Linked DNA regions of Lonchura striata. The protein of the gene in region 1 purifies or fractionates together with the protein of each later gene. This does not show direct contact. Links are inferred from orthologs where the notes say so. Each region holds a gene or a part of one and is shown in the gene's direction. Other genes may lie near its edges.

Region 1 (7,363 bases):
ATGAAGCCTTCCAGAGCACACAATGATGAGGAAAATGGGCCCCTCTTCTCCATGAAGGAAGGCTGGAAAGGGAAAAAATGGGACATATTACCCATAATCACACTCCACTGCCATAGAATCATAGTTTGGATCAGAAGGGACATTAAAAACCATCCAGTGCCATCCCTGCCATGGCAGGGACACCTCCCACTGTGCCAGGATGCTCCAATCTCCAGTGTCCAACCTGGCCTTGGGCACTGCCAGGGATCCAGGGGCAGCCCAGGGCTTGCCCACCCTCCCAGGGAACAACTTCTTCATATACCTAACCTGCAATTCCCCTCTTTCAGTCTGAAGTCACTCCAGTTCCTGATGAATTGTCCCTCTACAACTTCTCTGTAGCCCCTCAGACACTGGAAGGTGCTGTGAGGTCTCCACACAACCCTCTTCTCCAGGCTGAACAATCCCAACTCTTCAGCTGTTTTGTTGTTTCTTTTACATCTATTCCATTTCTCTAGACTGCTGTATGTTATTTTCTCACTTAGAGCTAATTTCTCCACTCTTTCCTCCTCATTTTCAATGTGCTTTTATCTTATTTTTTCTCAATTTTTCTGCTTATTATTGGGTTTTTTGACCCCAGATATTCTGCTTTCTGAGGGGTGGTCTCTTAGGAAAAGACATCCAAGTATTTCTTACAAGCCTGTCCACTAATTCATATACACAATGTTCACAAACTCCTGTTTTCAAGTACTGCAAACCTACTCCAGGTGGATTGTGATGGAGAGTTTAAAAAAAAAAAAAAAAAAAAAAAAAGGACTCTCAAGTCTTTCCTGTCTTGGCAGTCCCTCCCTTCCTAAACAAAATAAAAAGGAGTAAGTTTTGATAATTTTTGATAAGCAAGAACTTGGATTCCCTTCATCCAGGCCCCAACTCGTGTGCAAAGTTTCCAGGTGAGGCAGGATGCTGGTGGAATCCCAGCCTGGAGGATCCCTAACCCGAGCCCCAAACCTCCAGCAGAGAACACAAGTTCAGTTCCTGACAACCCTTTCCAGGAAGAAATTCCTCCTGATGTCCAACCTGAACCTCCCCTTGCCTTTTAATGAAATGGATATTGAAGAGAACACTTTTGTACAAGGGAAGAACCATGCAGGTTATTCATTATCCAGATAAAATTAACAAGCCAAAAATATCTAGATGTTTGTGCTGAAAAATAACATTTTAAAAAGATGCCATCAACTTTTAAAGGACATTTTTTTCTCTGCCCAAGGTGCCAGAGCCAGCAAAATAAAAGTAGAGGATGACTGAGCAAATGCAAAACCTATTGAAAACTCTGTAATATTTTTAAGTGTTAGCAAAAAAACTCCTCAAAACCTGACAAAAACCCCAAACCCCAGGAAGTTACAGTAATGCAGTGAACAGTGTAACAAATTTCTGTGAGTTTTGAAGTTACCTACATTGAGAAACAGAGAAACTCTTCTGTCACTGCACTCACACAGACCAGAAAGAGATTTTAGAGGGAAAAAATCCTCAGGGAATGCCCCCTTGCTCCTCTTTGGGAGCGAAGCTGTCCTTCCTGACTGAGGGACTGGGCAGAGGTTGGCCTTTGAGATCTTGGAATTGTCCACCTTGGAAGAGCCCTCCAGGATCATCCAGTGCCACCAGCATCACCCAAACCCTGTCCCCAAGGCCACATCCAGACTCCTCTGGGACAATTCCAGTGACTCCAAACCTCCCTGGGCAGCTCATCCCAAGGCTTGACCACTCTGCCAGGAAGAATTGGGGGAAAATTTGTTTTCAGTCTCCAACCTGAGCCTCCCCTGGTGCCATTTGAGGCCGTTCCCTCTCCTCCTGTCCCTGTTCCTGGAGCAGAGCCCGACCCCCCGGCTGTCCCTTCCTGGCAGGAGCTGTGCAGAGCCACAAGGTCCCCTTGAGCCTCCTTTGCTCCAGGCTCAGCTCCTTCCCAGCTCCCTCAGGAACTCTCCAGCCCCTTCCCAGCTCCCTCAGGAACTCTCCATTCCCTTCCCAGCTCCCTCAGGAACTCTCCAGCCCCTTCCCAGCTCCCTCAGGAACTCTCCATTCCCTTCCCAGCTCCCTCAGGAACTCTCCAGCCCTTTCCCAGCTCCCTCAGGTGTTGCTTTCCACATCCCAGGACAAGAGCCACATTCTGGCCATGCTCAGAGTCGACGAGAGAAGTGTCAAAAGCAGCTCCAAGTGACCACAAATCCTTCTGGGGCTGAGGGGAATGAGAAAGGATCACTGAAATCACGGTGCCCCCAAGTACCTCCCAGGGCTGGAAGGTGCAGTTCCATAGATAATTTCAACTCACCTAACACCTCTCTGTCACTCCTGGGGTGGCCCCGCGATTTCCCTCCTCTGCCCTGTGCACCCCTGTCCCTGGAGAGGGACTTTTCACAAGGGGTGAGAAGATAAACAGGGATGGATTTAAGCTGAGAAAGAGAGGTTTAGATGGGATATCAGGGAGAAATCCTTCCCTGGGATGGAATTCCCAGAGCAGCTGGGGCTGCCCCTGGATCCCTGGCAGTGCCCAAGGCCAGGTTGGATTTGGGGCTTGGAGCAGCCTGGGAAAATGGGAGGTGTCCCCATGGCAGGGGTGGGATGAGATGATCTTTACAGTCCTTTCCACCCCAACCCAGTCTGGGATTGTGTGATCACACAATGTAAGTAAAATTCTCAACACTTCAATTATTTGGGGGGCTTTGGCTTTGGCTGCATCCGTTCTGCCAATCCTTGGCTGCTTATTTCAACCTTTTAAGCCAAGATAAAAAAATAAAAAAAAATTAAAACAGGAAGAAAAAGCAAATGGAACATGTAACATGTCCTAATTTCTCCAAGGAGGCTGGCTAGGAAATGAAATTACTAGATTAAAGTATCACACGTCAGAATTAAAGTATTAGATAAAGGCCAGACTCTACTTTTTGATCCTTGTGGGCATTCCAGAAACTAAAAAAAAAAAAAAAAAAAAAAAGAGAAAAAAAAAAAGAAAAAACCCAAACCAAACCAAAAAAACCCCCTTAAAAACCTCGTCACAGATTTAGGCTGGAAACACCAATCCAGCAGTTCCGAGGGGAAAGGAGCATTCTGTCAGCAGCTCGAGGCTCCCACACTGGGCTACTTATAGTGCATATTTTAACTCATTTTTTGAGAAATATATTGATTTTTTGAGGGGGGATGTGGAAGACCCCATGATGCAATTCCAAGGGGAAAAGAGCCTTTTATTCTGTGATTCCCTCAGCACCTTAAGGCTCCCACACCAAGCTACTTTTAGTGCATTTTAAAACTCATTTTGGGGGAATATATTGATTTTCAGAGGGGGGTGAGAAAGACCCCTGGATGCAATTCTGAGGGGAAAGGAGCTTTGCCTCAGCAGCTTGAGGCTCCCACATCTAACTCACTTCTGGGGGAATATACATATATATATTTTTTTTTTTTCTGATGAGAATTAGAAAAACCCTGGACAGAATTTCAAGGGGAAAGGAGCCTTCTTCCCTCAGCAGCTCAAGCCTCCCACACCGGGTGACTTTTAGTGCGTTTTAAAACTTGTCTTGGGGAAATACAGATTTTTTCCAGGGGACAAGGAAGACCCCCGGATGCAATTCTGAGGGGCAAGAAACCTTCCAGAACCCTGTGACTCCCCAGCAACGCCGGGTCTCCCACAGGGACGACTTTTAGCGCATTTCCCAACTCGTATTTTTTTTTTTTGGGGGGGGTGATATTTTTAAGCGTGTCGAGAAAAACGCGCGGACGCAATGCCGAGGGGAGCCTTCCCTCAGCGGGTTCAGGCACTTTAAGCTCCTTCCAGAGCGTTTTTTGGACGGTTTTTTGGGAACGCCTGGCGTCCCGCGCCCGGCCCCGCCGCTCCCCACAGGCGGCGGGCGGGAAGCCCCGGCGGGCTCGGCCTCGCGCTCCCGGCGCCCCCTGCGGGCCGGGGCCGGCGCCGCCTCAACCGCCGGCTCCCCCTTCACCGGCAATGGCGGCCGCTCTCCTTCCCCGCCCCGCCGGGGCCATCCCGGCCCGCAGCGCCGCCGACACCGTCACACGCCGGAGGGCGGGCGGGCATGGATCAGGAAAGAGGGGGGGAAGGAGCCGTTGCCATGGCGAGAGCGGCCCGCCCTTGCTTCCCCACGTCAGCGCCGTCTCCCGCCCGGCCGCGGGTGATTGACAGTTGCCACGGCAACAGGCTCGCCCCCGCCGCCATTTTGTCAGTTGGGTTTTTTTTTTTTAAATTTAAAATTATTTTAAAAAATTAAAATAAAATAATAATTTAAAAACCCCAAGAGCAAATAGCTCCATTTCCGCCAGAATCTCGGGGGGGTTATTATTTTTTTTTAAAGTTTATTTTTTTCTTCTCCTTCCTCCGACCTCCACCGCGAAAGGAAAAGGAAAAGAAGGGACGCAAAAAAAGTGCGCTCCGAGGGTCCCGCCGGGGATGCGCGGCCGGGCTTGAGGCGGCGGCGGCGGTGCGGGAAGCGAAGCCGGTTCGTGAGGAAGAAGGGAGGGAGGGAAGGAGGAGCGGGCGGGGAGGGAGGGAGGGGGAGGAGGTAGCGGCTGGCAGGCGGGGGAGGGAGGGAGGGAGCGAGGAGTTCCCGGGGGCTCGGTACGGCGCTGCGCTTCCCCCCATCCCCTCCTCCTCCTCCTTCTCCTCCTCCTCCTCCTCCCGCTCCTCCCGCTCCCCCCGCCGCTGTCCCCGCGCTCCCGGCCGGGGCTCAGGCCGCCGATCGCAGCCGAGCCGAGGCGAGGCCGAGCCGCCGCCGGGCGCTGCGCAGGTTTGGACCGCGCGCCATTTTGTGAGGGCAGCGAACAGCCAGAGCCCGGCCGGGGACCCGCCGGGCCGCCCGGGCTCCCCTTCCCCACCGCGGGCAGAGCCGCGGCCCGAGGGAGGAGGAGGCGCCGCCGCCGCCGCCGAGGCCCCCGGGGAAGAGCGGGAGGACGAGCCCGGCACTCGCCCCGCGGAGGGAGAGGCCTCGCCCCGGGAGAAGCCGCCGCACGGGTGAGTGAGACGCCGCGCCGCGGGACGAGCCGGGGCCGCCTCGCCCGGGCCCGCGGCGGAGGGGCCGCAGCGCTTCGCTGCCATCTTAGAGCGGGAGCGGCGGCAGGGCCGGGATCCATCCCCGCCCGCCCCGCCGCAGCCCGCGGCCTTTTTCCCCTTGGAGCGCGGCTGTGGCTTGCCGGGCCTTGGGAGCGGCGATGGAGGAAGGGAGCTCGCCCGGAGCCTCTCGGTGTTATGCGCAACGCCCTGCGGTGGGCGGGTGCGAGGGCTCGGGCCGGGCTGGCGGCGAGGAGGGCGGCAGGACTCGGAGCATCACCTGTTGTAGGGGAGGATTGGGATGCCCCCGGCACCTGTGAGGGGCCGGTGGGGCGGGTGGGGAAGGTGCAGGGAGATGGGGAAGGAGTTACCTGAGCGAGGTGCCTGTCATCCCTTCGGTGGGGGTGGGGAGGAGGAGGGAGCAGCGTTGGGAATAGACACAGGGACACGCAGGGACACACAGGCACAGGGACAGGCAGGGACACACGGGCGCTCCTCGGGGAGGTGGCGGAGGCACCGTCCCCGGAGGTCTTTAAGGAAAGGCTGGACGTGGCTCTCGGTGCCATGGGCTGCTTGACAAGGTGGCCGTAGGTTGGACTCGATGATCTCGGAGCTCTTTTCCATCATTAATGATTCCCTGAATCCGTCTTTTAGTAGCTGGCCGCGGCCTTTTAGGGATTCAGCTTTGTGTTGTGGGGAGGAATTGGGGCTCCTCTCGGATGCACTGGGTGCTCCTCTGGAGTGGCCAGAGTTCCCTCCCGCCGCCGTGGGATCACAAAACGCGTTTTAAAGTCCTGGAATTGGAAATTTAGAAATTGGTGTGGTTTTGGATCTCAGTCGGCTTTGAAGCTTGGGGTTTAGCCCCTCCAAAGACCAGGTAGGGCTTCTTTGATCATGTTTCTAGATTGCTGCTGTTACTTAGTTCTCCTATTACTCCACAGCCATCGAGGGAAATTAACATTTATTGTTATTTAGAATCAACAAAGGCAGAGTAACTCGCTACAAAATAAATCGACAAGCGTGTTTTTGACAGCCATCCTGGTTGAATCCGAATGAGTGTGTGGTGTTAATTTCTGCCAGGAGGTCCTTGAAGTCACACTGAGGTGGATGGAGTTTCATGGGGGCCCGGATTTGAACAAGTTAACAACTTTTTTTATTATCTTCTTGGTGTTTCCTTACCTTTTCTTCAAGAAAGGTGTGTGAAGTCAAAGAACACATAGATGATATCTGGTGATAAATCAGCAAACATTTAATTTCTGGTAGTACTCAATTCTTTGCTTGTAACCAAGCAGAATTTAACTTCCCTCCTTGGAATAGTCTGTAGCCCTAAAAAGTTTTGGTAAACTTGTTTCTCTCTTTCTCCACGCCGCCCTTCCCCCAACCTCTGTAGGTTGGATATTTTTGGAAAATTAATTATACTTTATAGAATTAGTATAATAACACTGAAAATAACTCTGAGCTAGTATTTGTTAACTATTATCTATATATATTTGGTGTGTGTATATATAGATACTTTTGTAGGCTATGCTTCTTGTTTTTGGCTTACATGAATTATTTAGAACTAGACTTTTTATTTGCAGTCTGAAGTAGAATATGTGTGTGAAGTGTTAAATTTACATTTTTTGCTGTGAATTAAAAATTCCATCCAAGTTCATGAAGCTTTTTGAGTTTAATTCATGGCTTTGGAATATTCCTTGGGTGAAGCAAGTATATCTTGTTCAAAACTGAAAGAGCCAGCAGGGTTTTCCTAAGCCAGGAGGGCAATAGGTCAAGAGTTTGATATTGTTTCCAAGCTTACAGGTAGGGTTGGTTACAGGAGCGAGCGTTACAGTTCCTGCATCAATACTTGGATGGATTTGGGACTTGTCATTGGCATCCCCTCCCCCAGCTGGACAGTGACAAGGATAATTTTACCTCATAGCAGCCAAGAGTTCTCCCTTTCAGTGCAGGATTCCCTTCCTGGTGTGAAACAAGCAGGGACTCACGGGGAATTTATCCAGTTTGGGAGTCTGGGGGGTTGTGCAGGGTGGGAATGAACACCTGAGGGCCGTAGGAGACTTTTGCAAAGTGGCTGATAGTTCAAACAAAGCTGCAGAGCACCTCTGGTGTCCGGGAAAAACTCTGCCTTGTCCGAGCTTTTCAAGTGACATTTAATTAGGACAGACTTGCTTACATGTGCCACATCTTAAAGTCACTGGACCACCTGCTCAGATGGTATGTGAAAAGAATAAACACACAAAACCGGAGCTTTTATTTGCCATGCAGGCATTTCACAGCTTCTTCTGAGCTCGAATGGGTGCTGCTCTGAAGACTAAAACCTACTGGTACCAAAAAAAGCACTTT
Region 2 (7,542 bases), on another chromosome or scaffold:
TCGTGTAGCATAGATACTGTATCACTGTCGACAGATTTCTTAGAAATGCTGCTATCTCTATTTAACTAACATTTTGTTCAGTTTTTGCCTCCAGTGGAAGCAGAAAGGGTTTTTTCAGCTGTTAAATCCAAAATCAATATAATTTATTTATGTAAAGAAAAGTCACAATTGATATATTTTTGAACCTTTTAAGTACTAACTTTGTTTTTATTCAGTGGAAGAACATGTACTTGCCCTAAATCCTTAAAATACAAATGCTATAAAACTTCATATATCTTCAAAGCCTTACTGTGAATGGATACAGAAATCTCTTCCGAGTCCACTTCTTGTTATGGGATGATTTTTCCAGGGTTACATGGATAAGGAACAGGGTCTAAAGTGGAATTTATTTAATTAGTCAGCATGCTCTATACCTTGTTCTTCCTTAGCAGACATGTATGCTACGTCTCTGGGTGTTTAGGCTTCTCTTTGCTACTTTGTGACCCTTTTGCAACCCGATATACTCTGTGGATTATTTAGACTGTAAGGCGTTAAGTGGCTGCTTCTTCTTTTCCATCATATCCCAAACAAATGCCAAATTTTGACTGGTTTTCATGGCTATTCACACACATACATCCTTCACAAAATGTGCTAACAAAATAAACTGTCTGTGCTCTTGAACATGGATAAAAAGAAAAATATTTAAAAGTCAGATTTTTATTTTTTTAATTCAGTGACTAGAGGATGCTTATCTTTCAGACTTGGGAGAGCCTTGCTACAGATGTATATAATTTTTTTCAGCAAATATATGTGAATGTTTAATTCACCTGACTCAGTGATAAACGTGACTTGCCTTTTTCTCAGCATGATCCCATTGAGAAGCTGTTGAAAGCAGCTGCCTGGTCACTGCTCTAGGCTGCTCCTGGTGCCCTGTGTGTTACTCTGCTGCTGGCTGCGAGGGGGCGAAGCTGCAGCTCCCACTGCGCCCTGGGTGAACTCGCCAGCCTGAGGGAACTCATGTTCCACGTGGGTTGCAAGATGCCAGGAGCAGCCCAAGCTCCAGGGACAGTTTAAGCACAGAGGATGTACCAGGGCTCTCTGCTGACATGCTTTTTCCGCAAGGGTGGGCAAAAGTCCAGAGGCCTCCACAGTTGTCTCACACACCCCCACCCTCCAAGCAGTTACACCCCTTGGCATGTGCACAGCCCCTCACAGCAGGTGGGGTACTGGGGGTGCTGGGCTCCTCTCCCTGTGCTTCCTGTACCTCCAAGTTCTGTGAAATGCTTGTCCTAAATCTCTGTGTAAGGATCTCAGGCTTTAGCAAAGCAGACATTCGTCAGTGTTTCGTCAGAATGATATGTAGGACCAGCTCTATTCTTCCAAGATCCAGGAAAAAAGACACAGAGTAAAAGCAGTGCTTTTACTGCTCCACCTGCTCTGTGTAAGCACCTTGTCCTGGTATTTTGTTGCTCCTTTGGGGAGGAAGAATAGAAAAGTACCCCACAGAAAAGACTGGCAAAATGGTATCATGAGCTATGAATTTCCAGTTCCAGAATCTCTCTTTAAAATCTGGCTCCACACACTGCATCCTTGTGCTCGGCATCCATAATGCAGGATATTTGCTGGCAGAGGCTACAGCAGGAGGGCCCTGGAGGAGCATGTGCTGGCTTTGAGCTGTCACATCAGTGGTGGCTGGTCTCTGTCTCTTCAGACAAGGTGTGCTTCCTGCTTGCAGCACTGAGTGGATGTGGTGGAGGATGGGCACTGTGGGCACAGCTTGCTCCCTATTGTGTTTTACAGGATACAAGTGCCGCTTCCTGGAGAGAGTAAAACAGGCACAGCTGCACATCCCTGCTGTCCTTGCCTGGTTTTTATCTGACAGAAGTCTCATCACACATTTAGACAGGATCTCTAATTCCCTTTATAGTCACAAAAAAGGGGGGAAGAATTTTCCTCAGTACTGAGCCATGGTTGGAGGAACTTTACCTACCCTGGGTGCAGATGTACCCACTCTGGGCTCTTGACAGTTACAAGAAAGGATTTGGGGTTGGAAATCTTGGTCAGCAGTGAGCAGAAGGCAATTTCTCTAATGACATCTGGTTTGCATTTAAATTTGAGCTTTTCAGTGCAGTTTTGTTCCTCACCTCTTCAAGGAGCTACTTCAGCCCCAGAGCTCTGGAGCACAGGCTGAGTCACGAGATCAAATGTGAGGAATCTCCTCACATTTTACAACCTCAAAGAAGTTTCCAGGGACTAGGCTACAGGTGAAGCCCCCAGATGCTTCACGCCCCGTGTGGCAGTGCCCAGCTGCCCATAGCACCCATGCTCGGCCATGGGCACCAGACAGCAGGCAGTGCTGCCAGGAAAGAGTGCTGCCAGTGCTGCAGAGCAGCATCTCTGGGAAAGCAGAGGGAGGAGAAATCCAGCTTCTCTCTCAATCCCCTTCCCGTCAATCTGCACAGTGTGCCTTGTACGTTTGGACAGCAGGCCTAGGAACATCATCCTCACTCTCCCACATGGCTTTTGGGGATGCTCGTTGTTTCATGGTGCTCCCAGGGGTGCCTGGAGGCCTTTGGTGCAGTGCCATAGGTGGCACTAATTTCTGAAGAATCAAGATTTCACCTCAAGAGGTATAAAACAATGCAAGATCTTCAGCCCAAGCAGAAGATGTCTCATTCCCCAAGTGGCCTTGTTCTCCCTCCAGTGGGATTTTTATTAATGAACAACTCCATACAGCACGACTACCTGGCTCCATTTGCCAGTGGTCTGGATGAGATGTGACATTACTGGTTTAACTTGGAACTCAGTCCCAGCCTGCCTGAATACATCGGTTCAGGCAAGCCCAGCATTAGCCTTCAGGTTTCAAGAAATACTGTCCTGAACCTGTTGCAGGAGCAACTGGGAGGAGTGAGAGCCATGGCAGATGCTCCAGCCTCTCCTCTCTTTGGGCTCCTGCCAAGCCTTGGTTGTCAAGTTTCTCAGCTGGCTGTGCTATAGCACAGGGAGACATTGTACAGGAATTGCCTGTATTCTTTGGAAAAACAAAACTTTAAGAGAAAACCTCACAGTGTCTTTTTTCCCCTTCAGAAAAGGACAGAGATTTCTGATAGAGGAAAAGATGCACAAAAACCAGAGCTTGGCTCACCTAGAGGAAGACACATCTCTGGTCCAGAAGGAATAAACAAACCTGTGGGACCCAAAGTCTCAATACCACAAATGAAACAGATTTCCTGTCTGCTTATGACAAGCAGTTTTCCATGCTCTTATGGCCAGTATTTTCCAGATAGATTTGTATGTTGGATTAAGGCTGGGTTTTATGGAATGTTGGATTAAGGCTGGTTTTTATGTTTTGGAAAGCACAAAACTGATTAGATTCTCTGTGAGGAACCAGCCTCACCAGCCCGCGGATCCCACGAACTGATCCCTGCACTTTGCAGAAGAGCATTTTCAAGAACCAACCCCAGGATCTCTGAGTGGGGTCGGAGGTCGGGGCAGGGCAGGGGCTGCCGAGTGAGCGGGTGCGGCGGGGCCGGATCCTGAACATCCTCTGAGCATCCTCGCATCGCCGCAGGTACCGGGGCGGGGGATCCGCCGCACCCGCTCCGGGCGTGCTCCGCGTGTTCTCCGTCCCACGCCTTCCCAGCAGAAGGGAGGTGGTTCAGGTATCCTCCAGTGACAGGCGGGTTCAGAGCCCTGTTCCCTATCGAACCAGCGCTGCGGACGCTGCGTGACTCTTCCAGAGCCCCTTCCAGAGGTGCGGGAGCCGCTTTCCTGCCCACGAGGGCGGGCGGTGTCTCCATGGCCACGGCTTCCGATAGACACGAGCGCTCCCAAGGGGGCTCCGTCCGTCGGCGCCGGTTCCAGTGGAACAGGGACCTGGAAACGCTCTGAGCGCCCGCTGCGACCGGGATCGGGCCGGGGCCGCGCCACGGGTGCCGGGGAGCGCGGCCGCGGCACACGCGTGGAGCGGCTCCCCGGCGCTGCGGGGCGCGGAGGCCGCCGAGAAGATGCCGCAGCCACGCGTGTGCCAGGGCGCTGGGGCCCGAGGAAAAGCCGCTCCTGCCGCGGCCTCCCGGAGCCCTGCGCGGGAACGGGCCGCGAGCACCCGCCAGCACCGAGCGTCCGCCTGCAGACGGTGACACCGGGTGACCCCGGGTGACAGACACCGGGTGACACCGGGTGACACCGGGCGACAGACACCGGGCGACAGACACCGGGTGACAGACACCGGGTGACCCCGGGCGACAGACACCGGGTGACAGACACCGGGTGACAGACACCGGGCGACAGACACCGGGTAACACCGGGTGACACCGGGCGACAGACACCGGGCGACAGACACCGGGTAACAGACACCGGGTGACACCGGGTAACAGACACCGGGTGACAGACACCGGGTGACACCGGGCGACAGACACCGGGTGACAGACACCGGGCGACAGACACCGGGTGACAGACACCGGGTGACAGACACCGGGTGACCCCGGCCGGCCGCGACCGCCGCCCCCGCCGGTGCCCGCGGCCCCGCCCCCGCGGCGGAAGCGGCCCCGCCCTTCCGGCGGTTTTGGCGCGCGCTCCGCCGCCATGTCCCGCCCGGCGGCCGCCGATCCCGGCGCTGCCGTGGAGCGGCTCTGCCGGGAGCTCAACCTGGACGCGGCGAGCGCGGCCGAGGCGCTGCGCGACTTCACGGCGCTGCGGGGCACCTACAGCCTGGAGGTGAGCGGGGCCGGGTGGGGCCGGCCGGGCGGACGCGGTCCCGCTCCGGCCGAGCCTGAGGGGCGCGGCGCTGCCCCGGTGACCGCGGCGCTGCCCCGGTGACCGCGGCGCCCGTGCCCGCAGGGCGAAGCGCTGCACTGGTTGGCCTGCGCGCTGTACGTCGCCTGCCGGCGGAGCCGCGTGCCCACGGTGGGGAGCAGCCCGATGGAGGGGAACGGCGTCTCCCTGACCCGCATCCTGCGCTCCGCACGCCTCAGGTGAGCGCCCCGCCTGCCGGGCCGGGCCCGGCTGGGGCCGAGCACTCGGCGCCGGGAGTGCCCTGCCCTGCCCTGCCCTGCCCTGCCAGAGCCGCTAGTCCGGGAGCCTCGCCTGCGCTCCCAGCGCTGCCAGCCACGGCGAGGTTAAAGCAGTAAGTCCGCTTTTGTTACAGATGGAAATTAGATTGAAATGCGTAATTTCCAACTTCAAGCCTTTAGGAAACCACCTATGTCGAACCAGCAGCCGTTCTACACACGCCAGTTGTTTCTCTCCGTAGTTAATTTTACCACAAACATTTAGGCGCGTGCCATCCCGGTACAACGTGTGCCTGACTCAGGATTCAGGCCAAATCTCGATGGAGTGCTGGCAGACGCTGGTTTTTCTGGGAACACAGCACAGGTGATCACAGAACTCACCTTCCGCACGGCCCCAGCAGCAGCTGCCCTGTCACTGGCGTTCTGAACTGGGCACATGGAGCCCGGAATGTTGCTCATTCCATTTAAAGACCCCACTCTCTGCTGAGCTGCTGGAGGAGTTGTCAGTTATTTACATCCCCAGCTGTCAGGTTTTTGTGCAGGTAACTTTGACGGGCATTGACTCTTGGCTTGTTCTGTTCCCTCTCCTACCTCTGCCTCAACACTCACAGAGCTGTGCCTGCATTTTGCTGTTCACCACTGCCCTGCTCCACACAGCCACGCTGACAGCCTCCACATCGAGTTAACGTTCCCGTGCGTTAAAGAAGGTCAAGGAGAAACCCCAGAGTGATAAAAGGCAAAAAGCTGATAACACGCAGTTTGGAAGTCTTATCAAAATAAATTGTAAACCTACATAGTAATTATGTCAGTTTTTAAAGGAGCAAATATGTTGCACTTTGATTTTTTAAAATTTTAGAATGGAAGTTAGTTAAAGCTGAAAACAGACTTTTCTTCTTTCTTTTAAGTTTAATTCAGTTTTTTAGCAAAATGAAGAAGTGGATGGACATGTCAAACCTGCCCCAGGAATTCCGAGAGCGAGTTGAGAGGCTGGAGAGAAATTTTGAAGTGTCAACTGTGATTTTCAAAAAGTTTGAACCAATATTTTTTGATATATTTCAAAACCCTTATGAAGAAAGTTCCAAACCACATCGAAGCAGGAAGCAGAGGTATTTTTTAGATTTGATGTGATTTTTCCCTGGAAAGAGTTATACCCAATATAAGTTTACGAAAATTAATTTCCAGAGTGATGGGGTCTCTTTGACTTTGAAATGCAGCCAGCGCAGAACCACCCCTGAGCCCGGTGGGTGCAGCTCAGGTCAGCTGCATATGCAGCTGCTGTAACACAGGAGCTGTCCCACAGTGAGAGTGTCAGGGTGTGGTGGGGAGAGGTACCCTGAGGTAGGTTAGCTCCAAGGTGCAGTGAGATCAACACTTCAAACATTTAGCAGCAATAGCTGAAGTAGCACAGCAGTGTTCTGTCTTGGCACAGTGCTGGCAGGAGGTTGGTGTGACACCATGATCCGTCTGCTCGAGGGCTGTCACATTCTGTGACCTCCATGCTGCCAGGTGTTTGCCGTGGTTGCCAGATGAGTGGAAACACCAAATGGGGGGAAGTTACAGCTGATGTGCTCATTTCTTTGAGAAATTTGGGAACATGTGGTGTCATCTTCAATGCACACATGGAATGTCTGCCTTACGGAAAGGAGCTTGTCCATACTCCCTGCAAGAATATCTGGCTGGGACAGCTTTGTAGTGAGATTATAACCTTCGTGATGAGGGAGCCAAGCTGTGGATCTGCAAGGTGTTTTTATCAGTTCATGTGGGTTCTCTGGATGTGAGGGGGGATCATTGTTCTGGTGCAGTGCTCCAGTGTAGCTCCACATCCACAGGCAGAGTGCAGGGGGAGGTGCTCTGATGGCTGCTTTGTTGGTGTTCCTTTCTCAGAGCAGTGTTGGTTGGTGCCACCACAGCTTTGGCTGCTCTGTGGGTTGAGTCATGTCTTCCTTGGTCTTCCAGCTCCATGGGCTTGGATAGTTCTGCTCCAAACAGGAGTCAGCAGCTGAGTTGTAGTACAAGCTACAATTGCCTGTTCCAAAGGAATGGCTAATGGAAAAGCCATCACTGGAAAATACATATAGCCTTTGTCACCTCCCCACCCATAGGAGGGTTCTGTGGGAGGTACAACACCAGCAGAATAGTGTGGCAGGGTCAGAAGCCAGAAGCAGCCTTTGGCTTGGGAACAGGGTTAAGAAGTTGTGGGTGTGTGCAGGACACTCTGTGGAGCAAGGTCAGGCATTGTCAGGCAGTGAGAACTGAACTTGGGACATGTAGCTTAGACTATGCCTTAGTGTGGAATTGTGACAGCAGCTCCAGCTGTTGTTTTAAGCAGGGAAATGGAATGAAATTTGAACTGTAGAACAAGGTTTGGCTTCCTGGAACTGAAGAGTAACTTCTCCCCCTATTTCTCTTGTTGACAGACGGGTGCCGTGCAGCGTCAAAGATCTCTTCAACTTCTGCTGGACTCTCTTTGTGTACACTAAGGGTAAGCTGCTTGCTTTGCCTGCATGGTTTGTACACGTTCCCAGCTGTGACCTTCTGTTGTGTTGCTTGACAT

Evidence for each region.
Region 2: the proteins of DYRK1A (region 1) and RBL1 purify together in Homo sapiens (affinity purification with mass spectrometry; 3 studies listed by BioGRID and IntAct, with this or other methods). This does not show direct contact. The link is inferred for Lonchura striata from reciprocal best matches to the Homo sapiens genes DYRK1A and RBL1.

The regions. Positions count from the first base shown.
Region 1 is NC_134604.1:114,752,503-114,759,865, reverse strand, and holds the start of DYRK1A (dual specificity tyrosine-phosphorylation-regulated kinase 1A), read left to right. Parts: upstream 1-4,355; 5' UTR 4,356-4,472; intron 4,473-4,690; exon of another isoform or gene 4,691-4,984; intron 4,985-7,363. UniProt on the Homo sapiens protein: Dual-specificity kinase which possesses both serine/threonine and tyrosine kinase activities. Exhibits a substrate preference for proline at position P+1 and arginine at position P-3.
Region 2 is NC_134619.1:14,350,079-14,357,620, reverse strand, and holds the start of RBL1 (retinoblastoma-like protein 1), read left to right. Parts: upstream 1-4,542; 5' UTR 4,543-4,563; coding exon 4,564-4,695; intron 4,696-4,818; coding exon 4,819-4,952; intron 4,953-5,893; coding exon 5,894-6,094; intron 6,095-7,405; coding exon 7,406-7,470; intron 7,471-7,542. UniProt on the Homo sapiens protein: Key regulator of entry into cell division. Directly involved in heterochromatin formation by maintaining overall chromatin structure and, in particular, that of constitutive heterochromatin by stabilizing histone methylation.